2 linked regions of the Tamandua tetradactyla genome follow. The protein of the gene in region 1 interacts with the protein of each later gene in a biochemical or structural test. Links are inferred from orthologs where the notes say so. Each region holds a gene or a part of one and is shown on either strand. Other genes may lie near its edges.

The links.
Region 2: the proteins of SHQ1 (region 1) and DKC1 are reported together in a solved structure, tested with the Homo sapiens proteins (2 studies listed by BioGRID, with this or other methods). The link is inferred for Tamandua tetradactyla from reciprocal best matches to the Homo sapiens genes SHQ1 and DKC1.

Annotation. Positions count from the first base shown.
Region 1 is NC_135341.1:10,922,852-10,934,034, forward strand, and holds the start of SHQ1 (protein SHQ1 homolog), read left to right. Parts: upstream 1-6,087; 5' UTR 6,088-6,481; coding exon 6,482-6,624; intron 6,625-11,183. UniProt on the Homo sapiens protein: Required for the quantitative accumulation of H/ACA ribonucleoproteins (RNPs), including telomerase, probably through the stabilization of DKC1, from the time of its synthesis until its association with NOP10, NHP2, and NAF1 at the nascent H/ACA RNA.
Region 2 is NC_135353.1:1,659,608-1,671,442, reverse strand, and holds the start of DKC1 (H/ACA ribonucleoprotein complex subunit DKC1), read left to right. Parts: upstream 1-7,247; 5' UTR 7,248-7,352; coding exon 7,353-7,368; intron 7,369-8,057; coding exon 8,058-8,122; intron 8,123-8,595; coding exon 8,596-8,682; intron 8,683-10,044; coding exon 10,045-10,136; intron 10,137-10,583; coding exon 10,584-10,768; intron 10,769-11,233; coding exon 11,234-11,298; intron 11,299-11,674; coding exon 11,675-11,801; intron 11,802-11,835.

The sequences.
Region 1 (11,183 bases):
TCATTGCAGCAGACATGCCTCCTAGCCAACTGCAGATATAATTAGCAACAGATGAGGTTCACTTACCATTGGCTTATGTCCTCAGCAACAAGACTAGGTATGCTCACCTGGCCAAGTTGACAACTGAATCTAACTAATACATGTCCACCCCTTGTCAACTTGGCAACTTCAAGCCTCACCTTAAACAGGTGCAAAAACTTCTCTTCTTGCTGTGGGCCTGTGAATCTCAAAACAAGTTATCTTATGCCAATATGCAAAGGAGGATAAACACTGGATCCATAGGGAGAAACTAGAAGGAAAACCTGAAGGCAAACACCATTGGATTTTCAAGTCTGAAAGTCATTTATCCTTCGGCTGTAGAAAGTGGCAGTCCCACCCCTTCCAAGGGCCTATGCAGTGGCCGGCCTCTTTCCAAATCAACCTCGGGGAACATCGAGGAGACCACCTCTGGGCTCCACTCTCTCCAGGCATCAGGGCCACCCCTGGGCTCTCTGCCATTTCTGGGGCACACGCTCAACCCCTCCACATGGTGGCAACCAGGCTCTCCCAGTCCTCCAAGGAGCGTGCTATGCCTTTTCCAAGACCCGAGGCTGAACAACTAGTCCACTGCAATGAGAGGGGAGACTCATTCTCGCCCTTCAGGGTAAACTCACCCTCTCCCTGTATATGGGTGGGTCCACTCTCCTGGCCAAGGTTTCTTGGCTTCAGACCCGAGCTTCCATGGTTCTCACTCTGCAAACTCCAATTTTTTCCCTTTTGTGTCCTCCTTTGTCAAGATTAGTAGTAGTTCCATTTACACCAACAGTGTCTTCAAACACTCCAGGACTTCTCCATCAATCTCTTCACAGTTCCTCCAAAGTCTTCCCCTTAGCCATCCAAAACATCGTTCCAACAGGTCTGGTATTTGCAAACCGCAGCAGCACCCCACTCTCCGGTACCAACTCTGTTCTAGTTTGCTAGCTGACGAATGCAATACACCAGAGATCGATTGGCTTTTAATAAAAGGGGATTTATTTTGTTGGTTCTTCAGAGGAAAGGCAGCTAACTTTCCACTGAGGTTCTTTCTTACGTGGAAGGCACAAGATGGTCTCTGCTGGTCTTCTCTCCAGGCCCCTGGGTTCCAACAACTTTCCCCGGGGTGACTTCTTTTTGCATCTCCAAAGGCCTGGGCTGAGCTGCTAGTGCTGAGGTGAGGAATGATGAGCTGCTAGGCTGTGCTACGTTGCGTTCTCTCATTTAAGCACCAGCCAATTCAGTCAAACCAGTCACTCATTGCAGCAGACATGCCTCCTAGCCAACTGCAGATATAATTAGCAACAGATGAGGTTCACTTACCATTGGCTTATGTCCTCAGCAACAAGACTAGGTATGCTCACCTGGCCAAATTGACAACTGAATCTAACTAATACACTGGAGAATCACAATCAAGCTTGTTAGATCAGAGAGAGACTAATTTGATATAATCAAAGATGATAGGTTATATTCTTGTCCTCAATAACTTGACCATGGAAGAAAATATTTTTAAATTGGTGAAAAGCCATCCAGAAGTAAGCTTGAAGGAAATGGAAAAACAAAAAAAGGACACTGCAGCATCGAAGAAGGAGATGGAGAAGAAAAATTTAATTCCTGCTTGTTTTCCCCCTATTGCAGAGCTAACATGGAATGTTGACATAGTGCCTTTATTCACAAGCGATGTCTATATCTAGAAACATGAAATCAGTTGACTCTATGAATCAACATAGACATATCTCAAAAATGAACTAAAGTTTCAAAAAATGGCATGTTGCAGGATTACATTTATAGCATGATAATGCAACCATGTACACATACACACAAAGTAACAGTATGTAGAAATATATGTCGACTTATGAAAAGAGGTTACCTTTGGGGAAGTATATAGGAGGACAAACTTGGGATGGCTGTCAAAGGGAATTTTACCTGTAATATTCTATTTTTTAAAAAAAAAGAATGAGTTTTTTTAATTTTACAAAAAAATCCTCAAGATATATAGCAAGGATCATTTTTTACACAACTAGGCCCTGTCGTTTCATTTGTCGACTTTACTTTAAAGAATTATGAGATTGTTAGTAAGAAATAATGAGAAAGATCAGCACGAAGTGAACAAGGTGTTCTAGTTTGCTAGCTGCTGGAATGCAACACACCAGAGATGGACTGGCTTTCAATAAAAGGGGATTTGTTTAGTTAACCTATAGTTCTTCAGAGGAAAGGCAGCTAACTTTCAACTGAGGTTCTTACGTGGGAAGGCACAAGGTGATCTCTGCTGGCCTTCTGTCCAGGCCTCTGGGTTCCAATATCTTTCCCCGGCGTGATTCCTTTCTGCATCTCCAGAGGCCTGGGCTGAGCTTCGAGTACCAAGATGAAGCATGCTGAACTGCTTGGGTTGTGCTATGTTGAGTCTCTCATTTAAGCACCAGCCAATTAAACATCATTATTGCAGCAGGCACGCCTCCTAGCCAGCTGCAGATGTAATGAGCAACAGATGAGGTTCACATGCCATTGGCTCATGTCCAAAGCAACAGAACTAGGTGCCTTCACCTGCCCAAATTGACAACTGAATCTAACTACCACACAAGGTAACGAGCACAATGTCTCCATTTTATAACTTTTATGAGGTTTTCTCAAATAAGACTATTTGTTGTGCTGTGCTTCTGCTTCTGTTGAAATGATATAACATTTTTGCTAGATACATCTTATGGAGAAGACCATTTATGCTAGCTATACCTTATAGAGAAGACCATTTATACTGAGTATTGTTTCAGAAGGGTTAAAATGAAATTTTTTATTAATATGGGTGTATTTCATTACCCTCCTTAAAACGACTAAAAAGAAATGAATTTTTAATGTGTAATTAGTCACTAATTAAAAATACAAAAATAAAGTGAACTGTTGTTTGCAGAAAGAAGACAGAAAGAAAGCTATTATATGCTTGCAACTATCAATATTTTGTGATGCGGCAGATATATATTTTTATAAAACAGCAGCACTGAACCATATATAGCCTGTTTTCCTGTATTGAAATACTCTTTCATATGTGTGTGTATGTGGGCAAACACATAATAAAATATCCAGGATTCACACAACTCTAATTTGTGAAGGGCTTTCAATTTCTTGTTGATAGCAGAGCTTCAGTATAAGTTCATTCTCAATTTGTTAATGCTTGTGACCTACAGGAATGAACTCCCACAGCAGATATAAAGATTCCTTCTTGGTAGATGTAAAGATTTCTTCTAAAGAAGCTAATTTGGAATGATTTAGCCAAAAGCCTATCTCAAGAGACCTTTTGGGGGCCTAATTCCAAATGTACATCGATTCATTGTCAATATTAACTGCCTATCATTTTTAAGGCTCAGGACAGTCTAAATATAGACTGGGAAAAGTCAGAACGTGATACAAAGCATGTTTTGGTTTGCTATAGTTGCTGGAAAGCAATATACCAGAAATGGGTTGGCTTTTACGAGGATATATTAATTTATAATTTATAGTTCTTAGGCCATGAAATGTTCCAATTAGGGCATCAAAGGATGAATACCATCTCTGAGAACAGGCTTATGGCATCTGGACTCCTGTCACATGGGAAGGCACGTAGCCAGCATCTGCTGGTCCTTTGCACCTGGGCTCCAGTGGCTTCCTCTCTCAGCTTCTGTGGGTCCTCTCCTAGCTTCTCCAGGGCTTTTTTCTGTGCACTTCTCTATTTTTTTAAAAACAGTTTTATTCACACACCATACAATGCATCCTAAGTGTACAATCAATGGCTTAGTATAATCACAGTTATGCATTCACCACTAGTCAATATGAGAACATTCTAATTTCTTCCAAAGAAAAAAAATCCCATACCCCTTATATCTCCCTATTATTTAGCTTTGGTATAGTGCCTTTGCTACAATAAATGGAGCAATATTACAATGCTACTGTTAACTATAGAACTTAGCCTATGTTAATTATATATTTTTTCCCATATAACACCCTATTATTGACATCTTGTAATAGGGATACACGTTTGCACTAGTGATGTAAGGACTCTTATGTTTACACAATTAACCACCACCATTGTCCACTCTGGGTTTTGCTAAGTTATACAGTCCCAGTTTTTATCTTGTAGCTTTCCTTCTGGTGGCATACATGACACTAGCCTTCCTCTTTCAGCTATATCCACACTCCACTTTGTTAATTATATTTACAGTATTGTACTACTGTCACACAGAATTGTGTTTTCCATTTTTGAACCTTTACAATGAACATTATTGAACATTCTGTACTCCTTAATCATCAATTACCCAATTTTTGCACACTTTCTATCTCCTGGTAACATATGCTCTCAAATTTCTCAAAATTTGCTCATTATAGTTAGTTCTTATTAATGAGTCCATACACTATTTCTCCTTTTGTTTCTGGCATATTTCTCTCAACATACTTTCCTTAAGATTCATTCACCTCATTGCATGCCTTATGACTTCATTCCTTTCTGAAGCCACACAATATTCCATCATTTCTATACACCAGTTTTCCCTTCCACTCATTAATAAATGGAACCTTGGGTTGCCTCCATCCATTGGCCATTGTGGATGGAGGCCACCATAAACATCAGTGTACAAATGTCTGTTCTCCATCCCTGCTTTCAGTTCTTCTGAGTATATACCTACTAATGGGATTGCAGAATCATATGGCACCCCTATATTTAGCTTCCTGTGGAAACCATGTAGGCTTCTTCTAATTTCATCTCTTTTAGAGGACTCCAATAAGGGGATTAAGACCCACCCTGAATGAGACAAGCCACATTTCAATAGAAATAACCTAATCGAAAGGGCCCACTTACAATAGGTCTGCACCAACAGTAACAGATTAAAAGAACATAACCTTTTCTTGGGGTACATAACAGCTTCAAACTACTACAAAGAGGACGATGATAATGTTATAAGGAATCAATTCTTTGGTGGTTTAGAACCTGGACTCAGAAATCAGTCTCAACTGGGTTTTAATTCCCATTACACCACTTTCTAGCTGTGTTATCCTGTGCAAGCCATGGGCAGATGTGATAATGCCAACTTTATAGAGCTGTCTCGGGTGGGGTGGGGTGGGAAATGAGACCATTAAAAAGGACTTGGTGTAATGCTGGTACATAACAAGCATTCAATTAATGTTAGTTCCTGTTAATTTATTTTCTATTTTTGAGGCCTAATTAAGTTTCACGAGCGCTTCCATAGAGTCATAAAAAATTAGAGATTGAAAAGGCTTTTGAGCTTAATATCTGGTCCTGTTCTAGGAGATGACTTCCACCCCTTTTCCACTGATAGGAAATAAATACCACAATTAACTATTGTAGTTACTGGTGAAATAACAGGAAATTTTTTAAATTAGAGGGAAGGAAGGTCAAGGGAAAGGGAATATAAAGGGGAAGAGGAATGTTAAACAGATTTGTGGGAGATGTGTTGGGAGGATATAAGTGATACAGTGTAAAGGAAGAATATACAGACAAGAAGAATAAGGAAACAGAGAAAGAAAAGAGGCTTCAGACAAGTGTAAGGATAAAAGTGAGAAAGGAAGGGGGAGGGAAGTACAGAGGGACTACATACCGTCGAGGCAGGCACTGACATCGTTTAAGAGTCAAAAGCCCTGGATTCTGATTATTGTAAAATACATGATATGAATAAGTGGCTTAACTTCTCTGGGTTCAGTTTTCCTCCGAGTTTGTACTATAGATTAAATGAGATTAATAGGAGGGACACTTTAAAAAGAGAAAACCCTATTCAAATAAAAGATTAAGAAGGGGAGAGAAAGCGGTAGAAAAGACCAAGAAATAGTTGAAATAAAATAAAGGAGGCAGGGTTGGAGGGGAGGGGTTGGAGAGCGGAGGGGGGAATTGTTGACAAGTCAGGTGAGAACTACGGAAAACCACAGTAACGGCGCTGCCGCTGCTGCTGGGACCTCTCCAACGTTGACAGTTTGCCAGTATTATTTCATGTTAACCTCACAATATCTCTATGGGGATAAGTTTTAGTATTATTCTCGTGTTAAAAAAGAGATATCTGAAGCATAAAGAAGTTAAGAAACTTCCCCAAGAAGGGAAGTGGCTGAGAAGTGATTCAAACGCAGATGTATCTATCTGCAAAGCCAGTGCCATTAACAATTTCCAAGAACCTCGAAAGAGGCTTCGCGCGTCTAAGGCAGACTCTTGTCCTGTTTCTTCCACAAGTTTTCCCCTAGGTTCTGCTCCTGCGCCCAATCACCACTTGCTATGACCCCTTTTCTTTCCAGTTGTTCTGAAAACACCTCTCCCAAAATAGCGTCCCGTCTCTATGGAGATCTGCGTTGGGCGGGACTTCCTGCTTCACGTGAGAGCACTTCCGCCTGGAGGCGGAAGCACCGCGATTGAGAGGACGCACCCCGGCACATGGAAAAATCACGGAGAGTTTGAGGCGCGGCGTGAGAGTGCCCTACACGGGCACCTGCGAGTGGCGTGGCGATGATAACACCCGCTTTCGACCTCAGCCAGGATTCTGACTTCCTGATCGTCGCCATCCGCGTGCCCTATGCTCGCGTCTCCGAGTTCGATGTCTACTTCGAAGGGGCCGATTTTAAGTTCTACGCCAAGCCGTACTATCTCAGGCGAGTTTCGGGTGCCTCCCCTTAGGAATAGTGTATGTGGGGGATTAATTCATTCACCCATTCGAAAATAGCTTATTGAGGGAGGATGGAAGAGCGAGCGAGCTGCAGGACGCGGTTCTGTTTTCAACCAATGCCTTATCCCGGAATTTCCGCAGTTTCTTTCTGTGCTGAGGAGGTGATCTCTTTTAAGGCTTTCATACTCGGTGCTGCAGAAGGTCATTCACTTCTTAAATTCCTACACTGAAGAGACTTAGGAGCCACCTTAAAACCTGGCATTTGGGACTTAGGCCTTTAAAACCTGGCGTTTGGGACTTCTGCCTTTCCATCTTTTGTCCTGTCGCCCTAGTTTTCGTTCCTTTCTGGCTTGTTCTATTACCTTTCGTTTAAGTTACTAATCTATCTAGACAGCCTGTGCTGAGATCCTGGATCATCTCCCGACTCATTGATACGTTTGGCTGCTCAGACCACTTTCTGTTTACCGACTGAAGCGCCCTCCTTCCTGAAATTCCCTCCTTCCTTGGTCCCTGTGACACCCTGTTAGCTTGGTTCACCTGCCTTCTTGCTGTCTGCTACTTCTTTTTTTGGTTTGCCTCTTGTCATGGTTAGGGACACGTGTCAACTTGGCCAAGTTGTGGTACCTGTTTATCTGATTGGGCAAGCGCTGGCCTCTCTGTTGCAATGAGGACATTTCATAGGATTAGGTCATGATCACATCGGCTGCATCCACAGCTGATTCCATTTGTAATCAGCCAAAGGAGAGTGTCTTCTGCAATTAGTGATGCTAAATCTAATCATGGGAAGCCTTTTAAGGAGGACTCAGAGGAGACAGGTCCCATTCCTGCTTTGGCTGGTGAGCCTCTCCTGCAGAGTTCATCCAGGCCATCCATCGGAATCGTCGGCTTGGCAGCCTCCCCTGTGGATTTTGGACTCTGCATTCCTGCGGTCACGTGAAACACTTTTATAAATTTTGTATTTGCAAGTATTCCCTGTTGATTCTGTTTCTCTAGAGAACCCTAACTAATACACCTCTTAAATGTGGTTGTTGTCCCCTAAGACTCAGTAAGGGACTTTCAGCACTTCTGTTTTTCTGCTTGCACAACCATAACAATAACAGCAATAATAGCTAACACTTACTGATCACCTTTAGTGCGGTGGGCAAACTATGAGTTAAGTGCTGTATGCATATTATCTCATTTATCCTTGATGGTGATCCTTGGATATAGGTACTGCTATTACCTCCATTTTACAGAGGACACTGTCAGATTAGTCTTTCTAAAACAATGCCAATCCTTTGTCTTCCCTTTTCCTACTAGGTGAAATCCATTCTCTTAATCTTTCTCATTCAAGTGTAACTCCAGCCTACCTTCCGATCCAAGTACTGTTGTAATACAAACTTTCCGTCCATTCAAGCTGCTTCCTTTACTGTGCCTGAATCGGTTTTGCTCAGATTTCCATTAGACCCTCGCTTACTCTGCCTACTTGAATATACTGTACTTTTCCTATTTTGTTTTTCATCTTTTCCTTCAATTTATTTGTTGAACTCAGAGTATATGGCAGCCCTGTTTTTGGTACTGGGAATATAGTGGCGAACAAGACAGAGTCCTGCCTTCATGTAGTTTACATTCTAGTGGGGAGAAAAAAACAATAAACAAGAAAACATAACTACAAATTGTGGTAAGTGCTATGAATGGAAAGAAGAATATGTACTGATAGAGAATAAAAGAAGCCCATTATTTATATAAAGTGATCAGGGAAACCCTTGCTGAACAGGAGATATTTAAGCCAAGAGATGAATGGGAAGAGGATGGTCGTAGAAAAACATTTATTGAATATTTACTCCAGGCTAGTGCTTTTTGTGAATTATCTCATTTGATTTTGGGACAGTCCTACAAAGTAGGTTCTGTTGTTTACCCATGTTACAGATGTGAAATCAGAGGCTCGGAGAGAAGTTCTTAAGCATAGTCTTTGGTATGATGCAGACTGATTTCCTTTTTCCTGTAAAATAGAGTGGTTAAATGAGATAGGACTGAAAAACAAAACACAAAACCAATAAAATAAAGAATTTAAAATAAAAACCATTTTATAACAGTTTTGTTGGAGACAAAGCAAGAGGATACAAGCGAAGCAGTTTGAAAGAGGACTCTTCACACGTGAGGATTCATTTGTTCCTCAGGTAGCAGAGGCATAGGCATTGGGTACATCTGTGTCTCAGCACACTTACAGTTCTGTTAACTTTGAACAAATTATTCAGCCTCAGTCTCTTAATCTGTAAAATAGGGTTAATATTAAAGATCTTAAGAAATTGATGTGAGAATTGAAATGTGCATATAAAGTGCTTATTACCATGTCTGATAATTGGAACAACAGGCCTTCAATAAAGATTAATACCTCCCATTTGTTGGACAGTTAGTTAATGATCTGTTGCAGCATAACCAGTCACACTTAATGGAATAAAACAACAACAATAATTTTACTCTCAGTCCTGCTGTCGTTGGGTCAGGTTGGGCTGTTCTGGCTTGAGGCCTTCAATGCAGTTATTGTCAGGTCGTTATTCAACCTGGAATAGCAGGAGCAGAAGCTGCTGGTGGCTGATGGGTCTCAGGGCCTCCCTATGTGGTCTCTGCATGTTTGAGTTTGTGCTTCTGCAGGAGAGTTGCAGCACTAACACAGTGGCTAAAGGCTTCGAGGGTGAGTCCTCCAGCGAGCAAGGCAGAACCTACTTAAGTAACCTTTTATGATCTAACCTCAGAAATCATTTTGTGTCACTTCTGATGTGCTATATTGGTCAAAACAGTCCCAGAAACCCACACGGTTACGGAGAGGGTACACAGACCCCACCGTTGGGAAGAACCAAAGTCGTGTTATTGAAGAGAATGTAAGATAGGCCATTTTAAAAAGTACTGTTTGCTACTGTATACAAAAGATAAGTAGAACTTGGTCTCTCTTCTTGAGGAATTGCAAGCCTAGCAAGAGAGACAGATCTGTAAACATTTTTTTCACTTTTATGCAGTAGGTGTTTAAGTCTGTGCATAAAACTTGGGAGAAAGGGATTAAAAATAATAGCTCACATTTTCTGAATCCTCACTTGGTTGTGCCAGCCACTAAGCTCGATCCTTTATCATTTCATTCTCACAGATAGGTACTGTTATTCCTATCTCTTTACTAGTGTTCTAGTTTGCTAGCTTCCAGAATGCAATATACCAGAAACAGAATGGCTTTTAAAAAGGGGAATTTAATAAGTTGCTAGTTTACATACAGTTCTAAGGCCGAGAAAATGTTTCAATTAAATCAAGTCTATAGAAATGTCCAATCTAAGGCATCCAGGGAAAGATACCTTGGTTCAGGAAGGCCAGTGAAGTTCAGGGTTTCTCACTCAAGTGAGAAGGCACATGGCAAACACAGTCAGGGCTTCTCTCTCAGCTGGAAGGGCACATGGCAAACACGGCGCCATCTGCTAGCTTTCTCTCCTGGCTTCTTGTTTCATGAAGCTCCCCGGGAGGCGTTTTCCTTCTTCATCTCCAAAGGTCACTGGCTGGTGGACTCTCTGCTTCGTGGTGCTGCAGCATTCTCTGCTCTCTCCGAATCTCTCATTCTCCAAAATGTTTCCTCTTATAGGACTTCAGAAACTAATCAAGACCCACCCAAATGGGTGGAGACACATCCCCCCCAATCCATTTTAACAACTGCTCTTGATTGGAATACATCTCCAGGAGATTATCTAATTACAGATTCAAACATACGGTATTGAATAGGGATTATTCTGCCATTACAAAATGGGATTTTGAATAAAACATGGCTTTTCTAAGGGACACACATCCTTTCAAACCAGCACAACTAGTAAGGAATATGAATCTTGAAGCAGTTAATTAACTTGTCCAGAGAAAGTTATACTGCTGGTCAATGATAAGGCTGGGACTCAATCCAGATTTCTTGACACTAAAGTTAGTGCTTGGAACCATCATAAACTAATTTAATTCATAAAATGATTCTTTGTGCTGTCTTAGAAGTGGGTCTTGGTTTAGAAAATGCACTGTAGCTTGAGGAAACATTGGTGTCAAAAGCAGCTAAGGTGGGAAGCCGTGGACCTTTTAGGGTCTACCAAGATTTTTATATTGTTGAGGTAGGAAGCAAGGAGGAGGAGTTTGGGAGGTGGAGAGGCTAAAAATTTAAGTTTAGAATGGAATAGAGTGGAGCTGATATACCATCTGATGAGTTTGAGTTACCAGGTCAACATCAAGCAGCGATAGAAGCTTTTCCAGATAGAAAAGTGCCAATAAGATTTGTGTTTTAAAAAAATTCGTTTGGGGCCTCAGTAGAAGACTGATTGAACCAAAGTAAAACTGGAAGCAGGGAAATCACTTCATTTCCTGTGATATGAAAGAGGGGGAAATCCCCGTATGTCATAATGATAACTGGGAGAAACACCTTTGCTTTCTGCCTTTTTTTTTTTTTAAGTAATAATTTGCCTGATATAAGTAATTGGTTTTGTTACTTCGTTATTGTTTCCCTTTTTGGGGCTCTTTAAAAAAAATATTTTACACATTAGTAAATTTGTATTG
Region 2 (11,835 bases), on another chromosome or scaffold:
CCTCAAGTTCCTTTCTAGGGCAGGAAACAGGCATGTGAGTTGAAGAAGCCTCTAGAAGATTAGAGCCTCCAGTCATACAATCACCCCAACCAATGAGTCTTCCCAGCTGCAGTCCCAGACATTGTGGAGCAGAAAGAAGCCATTCCTATAGTGCCCTCTTTGAATTCCAAACCCAAAGAATCTTTATCAGCGTAATAAAATGATTTTTCAAAGCTGCACTGTTTTGGGACAGTGTTGTAGTTTGCTAGCTGCCAGAATGGAACATACCAAAAATGGGACGGATTTTATAAGGGGGAATTTATTAAGTTGCAAGTTTACAGTTCTAGGTTGTGAAAATATCCCAATTAAAGCAAGTCTATAGAAATGTCAAATCAAGACACCAACAGGAGGTTACCGTCACCCAAGAAAAGCCGATGACGTTCAGGGTTTCTCTCTCAACTGGAAAGGCACATGGCAACGTCTGCCAGGTTTCTCTCCAGGCTTCTTGTTTCATGAAGCTCCCCCAGGGGGCATATTCTTTCATCTCCAAAGGTCTCTGGCTATGAGGGCTCTCCTAGTTTTCATGGCTCTCTTTCTCTCTCCAAAATGCTTCCTATTTTAAAGGATTCCAGTAATCTAATCAAGACCCACCTGGAAAGGGTGGAGTCACATCTCCCTCTAATCCAAGGTTAATACCCACTATTGGGTGAATCATATCTCCATGGAAATAATCTAATCAACTTTCCAACCTACAGTGCTGAACAGGAATTAAAGAAAGGACTGCCTCCACAAGATGGATCAGGATTAAAACACGGCTTTTCCAGGGTACATAATCCTTTCAAACTGGCACAGATTGTTTGTGATATCTCCATAGAAATCTAAACTGAGAATGCCTGTGGATTACTATAATCTAAATCAAGAGGTTTTTCTAATTTCTGATGCACTTCCAAATGTGGTCTCTCTTTTTTTTTTGGCATGGGCAGGCTCCAGATGTGGTCTTTTTGTTATGGCAATTCCACAACTCTCACAACATTTTGTAGGGACCTATTGATCTGGCCAATGATGAAATGACCTCTTGAAGATTCTATTATATTGATAGTTTGGATGCAATAACTTCTGAGGTTGGAGTGCTATTTGGAACATACACTGAACCACAGACCATTAAATGGTGTCGTTTTTCTCATGGCCAGAATAGAAGGGGTCTGGAAAACAAAGAATTCAAGTGGGGAATGGCATATCTCAGAGGTATAACTGAATGGCCTGCTACACCAGTTTGAAGGTATTATGTATCCCAGAAAAGCCATGTTTTAATCCTGATCCAATCTTGTTGGAGCAGTTGTTTCTTTTAATCCTGATTCAACACTGTAGGTTGGAATCTTTTGATTAGATTATATCCACGGAGATGTGATGTGCCCAATTGTGGGTGTGACCTTTTGATTAGATAGAGATGTGACTCCACCTATTCCAGGTGGGTCTTGATTAGTTTACTAGATCTTTTAAAAGAGGAAACATTTGGGAGAGAGCTGGAGATTCTGAGAGAGCAGAGAATGACGAGAGCCATGAGGAGAATCCATGCAGCCAGAGACAACAGAGCTGACAGAAGCTTCAGAGCTGAGCTAACAGAGGAGAGCGAACAGAGAGAGCAGATGTAGATACTTGAAGAACAGTTGCTTTAGAGAACAGAGACATGGTGTTTGGAGATGCTTGGAGCCCAGAAGACATTACCATGAGATGTTAAGCAAGCCAGAACCTGGAGAGAGCCAAGGGAAACCAAAGGATGAAAGCCAGCCCCAGAGAAGCAAAGTTACGAACCCCCACAGGAACAGAGGCTGAAAGCAACCGACCCAGGAGCAAGGGATCGGCAAATGCCAGCCACGTGACTTCCCAGCTGCTAGAGCTGTTCCAAATGCATTGGCCTTTCTTGAATTAAGGTATCTTTCCCTGGATGCCTTTCTTTGGACACTTTCATAGGCTTAGAACTGTAAACCTGTAACTTACTAAATTCCGTTTTAAAAGCCATTCCAGTTCTGGTATATTGCATTCTGGCAACTTGTAAACTAAGACCTGCTTTTCAGAATAGTTTCTTATACCTAAGACACTGGGCCCTGCTGATTCTAGTACCAGCAGAATTCTGAGTGCCATTTGGCCATTTCAGGCTCCTTATGCCATTACCCAACCCTGCCCCCTCCAGCAGACTTCCAGTTATGACCCTTTAGCCACAACTATGTCACACGGTCACTGTGACTGCAAGGATCTGACAAAAGGAAGGGTTTACCATGACTGGGCTAAACCATTTAGGATTCATCCCTGATTCTGGGTTTAGTGCCAACCTGCACAAAATGGGTAACTGCTAGAAAGGGAGAAAGGGAAAGAAATGGCTGTTGGGTCACCAACTAACAGAGCTTACCATGTGTGACCAGTGAAACATTGTAAAGAACAGTCATAGCCCTATAGAACCTGAGGGCAGAAGAGCAGGTGAGGAACTAAAAGGCATCTATTAAGGGACACTATATGACGATTTTACAGGGAAAGCATATTTGAAGGTATTGTTTTAAATTTACTTCTTTAAAAAAATGTAATTTTCTGGGCGGTGTGATGGTGGCTCAGTGAAAGAATTCTTGCCTGCCACGCTGGAGACCCGGGTTCGATTCCTGGTGCCTGCCCATGCAAAAAAACAAAAAAAAAGTAATTTTCTGTTTTTATCGCCCCAGTCCTTCACTAAAGTCTCATATAATGATATATCTTTGTTTGGTGGTTATGTGCTTTGAAGCTGTATGTACCCCAGAAAGAGATGTTCTTAAATCTAATCTATTTCTCTGGTTGAACCCATTGTACGTAGGATCCTTTGATCAGGCTACTTTAGTTAGGTGTGACCCACCTCATTCAGGATGGATCTTAATCCTCTTATTGGAGTCCTTTATAAATGGAATGATATAGAAACAGGAAGCTGAAAGTAATGAAACCCTGAAGAGAAGGGAGAGACCAGCAGATGCCGCCCTGTCCCTTGTCATGTGGCAGAGGAGCCAAGGATTGCTGGCAGCCAGTGTTTGGGAAGAAAGCATTGCTTTGATCATGCCTTGATTTGTACATTTTCTTCATCTCAAGCTGTGAGCTAATAAATTCCTGTTAATTAAATCAATCCATCTCATGGCATCTGCTTTGAGTAGCCTAGCAAACTAAAACAGTGGTGTGGAAGAAAGGAGTAAGTGATGAGCCATAAGCAATTTTGAGGCTAACCTTCAATGTTCACTCATCCATTCACATGCTCATTCTCATTCTCTCCAACCCTCCCCCGCATATATACATATACCGTTAAGACAGCAAGAGTCAGTTTCTTTCACTTGCAAATGAAACATTTCTAACTGACTCTGGACTTAGTACTGTAAGTAAAGCCTCCCATGTGATAATTCTCAGAGAAGTGTAGGACTTTTGTTTTGGTTGTCTGGCCAGATGTGGTGAAAAGACAATCAGAATCCTATTAATAATCTGGACTGGGAATCTACTAGCCTACAGCATGTTACTAACAAATCAGGTACTAATTGTTTGTCATCACTTAAACCTATCCATCGCTGTGAAATGTCTGGGATAATTCCCTTGCAGGCTTCTTGGTCTAGGCATCACCTCTACATAAACCTCCACTGTAGATCCTGACCCTCCTATAAAATTCCATTTTTTCCTGGTGGGTCAAACACTTTCAAATTACAATTGCATTAATATTGTCTAGATATTTCCTGTTACATATTAGTATTCTACTACTCTTTTGATATGCAGGCTTACTCCTACTACATTTGTCTTTGTAATTGTTCCCTTAGTGAATGTAGAGATGAATTGTAGTCATAGGTCTTTAGATATTGGGGTGGGGTGGGGGTTAGAGGAATGTGAATATCTGGTGGCAGGGCATGCAAGGCAGAAAGAAGAGCAGGTACAAAAGCCCAGAAAGTGGGGAGTGTGCCTGGAATAGACATGAACAGCCAAAAGACCAACGTGGGGGTACGAGTAGCCAGACCTGAATTCAGAAAGAGAACTGGGGGCACATTCTGTCAGCTATTATTGGGACTTTGACTTTTACTCTTGGTGAAATGTGGAGCTTTGAGCAGAGGAAGAATATGACTTAAGTTTATTGACTCTTTTGGGCTGCTGCATTGAGAAGACACAGTAGGTTGGAAAGGCAGAAATGGGGGGACCTGTCAGGAGGCCACTGGAAAAATCTCAGAGAGCCACAATGTCAGCAGGGGCCTTAGTGACAGCAGCGAGGGTGGTGAAAAGCGGTCTGATTCTGGGCTTGCTAACAGACTGAATGAGGAGTGTGCAACAAAGAGAGGAATGGAGGATGACTCTGACACTATTTTGTCTGTGCAACTGCAAGAATGGAGCTACTACTTACTGAGATGAAGAAACCCAGAGGAGAACTAGGTTTGGGTAGAGTATCAGGAGCCCAGTTACGGACACTTCATGTTTGAGGTGCCTTTTAGATATCCAGATGAAGATATTGAACAAGAGGCCAAATAGACACGTTTGGAGATTAGGGAAGAGGTCTGGGCTGGGGATCTGATTTGGTGAGTCATTGCCATTTAAAGACATGGGCCTCGATGAGATCACCAACACAGCAAGGTACAGCTAAAGGAAAGGGCCAAGGAATAAGCCTTGGTGCACTCTGACATTAAACGCTTGGGGTGACAAGGAGGAGTCAGGGAAGGTGCTTGAGATGGAGTGGCCAGTGAGGTCAAAGGGGAACCAAGAGAGTAGGATGTCCTGGAAGCCAAGGGAAGCAAGTGTCCAAAGGGACCAATGGACATGTAAAATGTTGCTGGAAGCAGCCATCTCCATCTGCAGGGGGTTGTTAGGGAAGTCACTGATACCTGTTAAGTGACCTCAGCCCCAGCCTCACCTATCCTCACCTCCCTCTCTGGGAAAGTCAGGAACACACTTTAAGTAGCCATTGTACCTATGGGCTTCTGCTCCCTCCACTTCCTTTTTCACTGTGTGACATTCTAGAACCTAGTCAGACTTAACACCCAGAAACTGGGAACCAGCAGCTCCAGATGCCCGTCAGAATAGGAATTCTCAGTGGCAAGCCCCCTCCTCCTGAGGTGAATAAAACCCACATTCAAACAGTACAAGTGGGTCTCTCTTCTCTGGCATGAAGTGGGGCATGTGGGACAGCCATCTGTCAACACCTACCTGGAACAGCTTTTGGCCACCCAGAGGGGACTGGCTGTGAGGGGACTTCTTCCCCTGCTCATAGACTCTTTGTGCTGTGAAAACAAGGAGACTATTCACCCTTTCTGGACTCTTTATTCTGTGCAAGTAATAAAGGGATCATTTGCTGAAAGTTTCTCTTAGGCCCTGAACCTGTGTTCCCATGACAAGCAGTTGAGGCAAGGTGCTCCCTAGCGACAGCAGTGGAAGTGAAGGCTGTGAAGAACTGAGGGAAAAAAAGGACCTGTAGGTGTCCCTGCTTGTAACTTGTCCCCCAAGCTCCTAAAATGAAGCCAGGTGAACCAGAGATGGAAGGGCTTCACCACCACTAACTACCCACCTGCATGGGTAGATTACACCCTTAGTCCAGGGGCCCATGAGTTGGGAAACCCCCTTCCTGCAGCTCCAGAGTGTGTAAGTCACAGAAGAGGCAGCTCTGAAGCTGCTGAGTGAGAATGGAAATGTTGATTATTGGATAAGATCAACCCCTCTAGCAGGCAGATAACCATCCGGACAAGGACAAGGACAAGAGCTCCATTGCATTTCTGGCCGGGTCCATGTGGGCCCTGCCTTAACCCCTATAAGTTCCCTGCTGAGGACTTAGTGCCTCTGGCAGTTCACCTGCTCTCCACTTGGTGGAATGCAATATTATCTTGAACTTGCGATCTCTGAACCACAGGCCCCTGTGATGGCAGCAATCTTTAACTCATGCCCGCAGGGCGGGAGGGTGGAGGTACATTTTTGAACAGGCTCTAACTAAGAGATCATTCTCTAGGATTGTGTTCTTACAGCATAACCTCTCACCTTTTCATCCTAATCGCTAGACTCTCCAGCAACTCCAAACTACATCCCCTCCACAGACTCCTCCTAATACTGTAAACTTTCGACAGCTTGGCTGGGGGTGGGGTGGGGGGAGCGAGGTCACCTCCCCAGGTAATGTAACCCCACTTTGGTAGAGAGGCAGAAGTTGATGATACGGGAAACAGAAAGGGGAATTGCTGGAGCAATGTACTGAGTAAGCAAAAGGGCTTGGGATCTGGGTGAAATGGAGGGGCTGGCCTGAGTTAAGGGCATGGGTGTTTCATTCATTCAGGGATAAGGGAGGAAAGGCAAAATATCTTTGGTAACTGGTGGGTGGGTTGTTAGATAGATATGGTAGAAAAGCCTGCGTGGAGATCCTCTTGTGATTGCTTTCGTTCTTAATAGAGCCAGGTCATCATCAGTTGAGTGCCAGGTGTGTTGGCGGTTGGAGGAACAGGTGAGGAGCGCCTCATGGGAGAGTGCGGCGTCAGCAGGAGCGCCAGGTAGCGCTGAGGGCTGGGCTGCCGCCTGAGACTGTCTGCGCGACGGGACTTGTAGCTTCCGCAGCAGGGTGCTAGGGTGCGGGCAGGATAGGTGGACAGCTGAGTTTAGCAGCTTGTGGCTTTGACACAGCACCCCTCGCAGTACACCGAGACCACCCGCTACGGGCCTGGTCCGAATTAAGGGGGTGCCGTAAGGGATTCGAAGACTTGATACGGGGGAAGAAAATAAAGGATGTAAAATACCTTATTCTAATGTTTCGCACCGACTACACGCTGAAGTGGTAATATTCCGGATACACTGGGTTAAGTGCGACGCATTATTAAAATGACTGTCACTTGTTTCTGTTCCCGGGCCCCCACGCGGCTCGCATTCTCTTCAGCGCCGCTCGGGGCCGACGGTCAAGTGAGGCGCGGGGGCCTCACCGCCTCTCTGCTTATTTCCTTATTTTGTAACGGGGGCTGTGGGCCCGAGGAAGCGGTGAGGTAATATTGACAGAGCGTCTCGCACACAGCCCAGGGGCGGCCGCGCGGGCTGGACCGAGCGAGGGGGGCGCAGAGGTCGAGCCCACAGGCTCCGGGCCGCCCCGGGCGCGCCTCCCTAAGCGCCCCCCGGCCCGGGCCGTGGAAGGAGGGGCGAGGCCCGAGGCGCCCGCGCGCACGCGCCGCCCGCAGGGGCCGAATTGGCCAATGGGACCGCTCAGGCGGTCTGCACGCGTCCAGGGCCCCGCCCCGCCCCTCGGCGCTGCACGTAAGGGACGGCGCGCGGGTGGGTGGGCCCTGTCGGCGCGGACTGACGAGACCCGGTCGGCGGGACTCGGCGGTCGTTACCTCCGCGATAGCCCGGGCGGCGCGCACGTTGTGCGGGGAAACATGGCGGACGCCGAAGGTAAGGGCTGCGGACGGCCGGGCCGGGGTCTCCGGGGTCAGAGGGAACTCTGCGGACTCGGAGAGCCGGGGGAGCGGCGTCGGTGACTCACTGCCGGGGACCCACTCCCGGGCCTCTTGCGGGCCTCGCCTCCCGCTCCGCACGTTGCTTCACCTGCGGGGAGAGCGCAGGACCTAGAGGCCCTTTCGGTGACGTGACCCTGCGGGGCCCGGGCCCCCCGCTAACGGGAAGACCTCCTTAGGGCACTTGGTTGCAAACAGAAGATGTGCTGGCCGCACCCAGGTTCGGGCGCCGCGGGATGCGGGCTGGAGGGGGGTGGACGGGTGGGGAAGAAAGGGGCCGGAGGGCTTTGGGCGCGAGGCCAGCTCCCAGGTGCAAGAAAGTCCCCGAGACTACAAGCTGGCAGGGCTAGCCCAATGGACGCTTTGGAAGTTTCGGGACAGCGAGCGCTCCTCTGCGATTTTTAAGCCCCGCCATGGCCACGTGGTGACCCGGAAGGGGCCCCAACACGTGCGACAGCCGCCAGCTAGTTACCAACCCATGCGGAGTACCATGGTATAGCTTTTGTCCTCAGCACTACTCTTAGATGGAAAATCTGTATTCGCCTGCCCCGATTTCCACTTTTTCGTTTTAAACTTGGATGTCTTTATTTTCGGGGGAAACTTCCAAATCTCGTGTATCTTTTTTAGTAGTTATTTTGCCAAAGAAGCATAAGAAGAAGAAGGACCGAAAGTCAGCACCAGAAGATGTAGCTGTGAGTAGGAATATGTGTTATTTTGGTTAAACTAAAATTTTACTTAACTAACAAACTCAAGAACTGTTTTTCAAATATCTAAGAGATGGGCCAGAATTGGATGCTCTTTGCATAGAAATCCCAAGGGACTGAAAATGAGAATGCCCCCCCCCCCCTTAGCCACCCTAAGTTTCATGCTGGTTTACTAACTGCAGTTGGCTATACCAGATTATCTCCCTATCACTCTTTCTTCCCAACTCCACCCACACACCCTTCATCTCCTGTTTTCTTTAAACATTTGGACCTATCTTAGTGATACTTCATTTCTTTTTCGGAGTTTCTGCTTCTTCTCTTTCTTTCTCCCTTGGAGGCCCCAGTGAAGAAGTATAGAATGCCTTGCTTTCTATTTAAAAGGCGTATACTTCTGTACTAGTAATGGAATTTCTAAAGATCAGGTGAGAGATGTAACAGTGTGTGTTTCTGTTCTGTCAAAGGAAATTCAACACGTAGAAGAATTTCTTATCAAACCTGAATCCAAAGTGGCTCAGTTGGACACATCTCAGTGGCCCCTGCTGTTGAAGGTACGTGGTCAAGATCAGGCATATGGGCTTTGTTACACAGCAAAATAAAGGTATAAGTATGTTACGAAACCAACACTTGGCTACTTCCCGTGATCTCATACATACTTTTATCTTCTCCATGTGGCCATTGCGTGTCCTTGAGCCCCTGTCTGTACCACTTTCTGTACCATCAGTCTTCTCCACTGCGTTTCATTTCTTGAAAGCAAAAATGCTTACTCTTTGACTTCTAGGGAATGCAAAACGATTTAGTTTAAGGCAGTGCTCCTCCAGGTATCTAAGATAATGGACCAGATTTTTTTTTTGAATTTCCAGTATACTGAGTACTCTTCTAGAATATAATTAAAATATCACAGCAATGTTAAACTCCTATCACAGTTTCTAAATACTTACCTGTAACTTTCTCTACTTAATCCATCTTAAGGACCTACAACACTTTGTGGACCACACTTTGAATAACATTACTCTTGTATTTAAGAGCACAAGAGCAATGAGTCAGTCAGGCTGTGTGACCTTGGACTAGTCATTTAATCTCTTCTGCTCACAATAATTATTTTAGGAAGATTTGCTGAGGATTACAGGAGGTAATGCATGAAATATGTTTATCTCCAGTGCCTGGCAACTAGTGTGTCCTGTAGAAAGTATTGTCTATTAATTAGTTTTAAATAGGGTAGTTCAGTCAATTTCTGCTTGGCTAGATGTTTCTGCTATTTAGACAACATCTGCTTCTCTTTTGTAGGCCCCCTGAGAATATGTTGGTGAAGGTGATAGGCACAGTCCTCTATTGGGGAACTTAAAATTGAGGGTGTGGGAGTTACACAAGAAATAATTCTATTTGTGATAAGTACCATGATGAAACCAAATTGGATAATGTGAAAGATGGGCTTGGATTGGAGTCAGGTAGTTCAGCTAGGGTGATCTGTGAAGAGCAGAGGTAAGAGCATCTGAAGCAGGGACAGGATGGTTATTACTGGAAACATTATTGCCAATAATCCTAAATTTGGTTATTCCTACCCACCTCCCAAGAAGGTCAAAGTTCCTCTGTATTTTATCCATAAGTTTGCCCAGTCTATGTTCTGTACCCACGGAGTACTGACCACTTTCTAGAGCAATATATTAAATTTTGAGTTATCAGCTCTACCTTGTTCTTACTAACGTGGGTCATTTTTCCTGTATTTAAGAAGGCTTAACAGTCTGCCATGGCAGATGATGAAAAACAAAGAACAAAAATTCAAGTTATGAACTTTGAGGGTTATATCGTGGTTGCTTGCTGGTGCTGACTTTCCGTTTTATACGTGTTAATGGTTCCAAAACAAGAACTATAGAACCATGAAGTTTATTTTGTGTTGTATTGTTGCTTTCTAGAATTTTGATAAGCTGAATGTAAGGACAACACACTATACACCTCTTCCTTCTGGTTCAAATCCTCTGAAGAGGGAGATTGCGGACTATATCAGGTATCTGTATCTGGGGCAAGCACTGTTCGAACTCTTGTTCCTTTAGAAATGTTATTTTTATATCAGTTCTTTAAGTAGGTAGTTGTACCTTTGAATGGCATTCCCCTTAATATATAGTGTACCTGTGATGATTTCTATTTTATCCTTCAAAAGTTTTGTTTTGTACTGAATGAAGCTGCATGTGAGGTATAGGTTTTTTTTTTTCTTTTTCTTTCTATTATCATTTTAATTCTTATTCTGTTGTCTTTTTATTTCTTTTTCTAAATCGATGCAAATGTACTAAGAAATGATGAATATGCAACTATGTGATGATATTAAGAATTACTGATTGTACATGTAGAATGGAATGATTTCTAATTGTTTTGTTATTTCTTTTTTTAATTAATAAAAAAAAGTTTTGTTTTGTTATAAGATATATATATATATATTTTTAATTCCCCATTCTAGGACAGGTTTCATTAACCTCGACAAACCCTCCAACCCCTCTTCCCATGAGGTGGTAGCCTGGATCCGACGAATACTTCGGGTTGAGAAGACAGGACACAGTGGTACTTTGGATCCCAAGGTGACTGGCTGTCTAATTGTGTGCATAGAACGAGCCACTCGCTTGGTAAAATCACAACAGAGTGCAGGTATGTGCAAGAGGGAGGGAGGTGGTGAGTACTTTACTACGTTTCCCTTTCTGGCTTCATTTTGGCTCTTGGGAATTATTTCTTCATTAAGAAAAAATATTCCTAAAGCAAAATGTTCTATTGGTTTCTGTGTACATTCTGTTCTTTGCCAGATCTGCATGGGTCTGCCCTTTCTTGGAGTTCCAGGTACTACACATGTACATCAAGCTGGGGAGATACATTCCTGGCATTAAGTCAGAACTCTAGAAGGTCTTTCTGAGAGTACCTTTTGCCTTATTCTAGCCTCTTTCTCCATGCTGCTGCTTCTGTCTAAAGTGCCTTTATTTAATCATTTTTTAGTTAAAAAATAGGAACATGAGGTCAAATTGCCTGCTTTTCTAGCAGCACAAAATGGAAATGGCTTGAGAATATATAAATACAGAAAACTTAGTGGCCACACCTGACTACTCTTCTGTCATTTTTCAGGCAAAGAGTATGTTGGAATTGTCCGGCTGCACAATGCTATTGAAGGGGGGACCCAACTTTCTAGGGTAAGTGCATTGCTAGGGAGGGCACCCTTTGGCCATTTGGGTCTTTCAAGCCCATGAACATTTGGCCTCTTTTTCACATAGGTTTCTTACACCTTTTTCAATGAGCTGCCCTAACCAGCCTGTGTGGGTGGCTGCAGGTGGCAGAGGAATTTTCTGGCTATGTCCTTTCTGAGGAGGGGGTTTTCGATCAGCACTGAATTATCCCTGTATATTAGAAATAAGGAAGCAGAAATGGAAAAGGCATTTTAGATCCTAAATGATTGAAAGAAACCTTTTGTGTTTTAATTGTGTCCTCAAACTCTGAAAATACCCTCTTTGGTCTTAATTGAAAGTTTGTGTGATGAGAATCTTTATTTAGTTTTGTGTTCATTTTCAGGCCCTAGAAACTCTGACAGGTGCCCTCTTCCAGCGACCCCCACTTATTGCCGCAGTAAAGAGGCAGCTCCGAGTCCGGACCATCTATGAGAGCAAAATGATAGAGTACGATCCTGAAAGAAGATTAGGTAGGTCATTAGGTTTGTGATGAACCAAATCAAC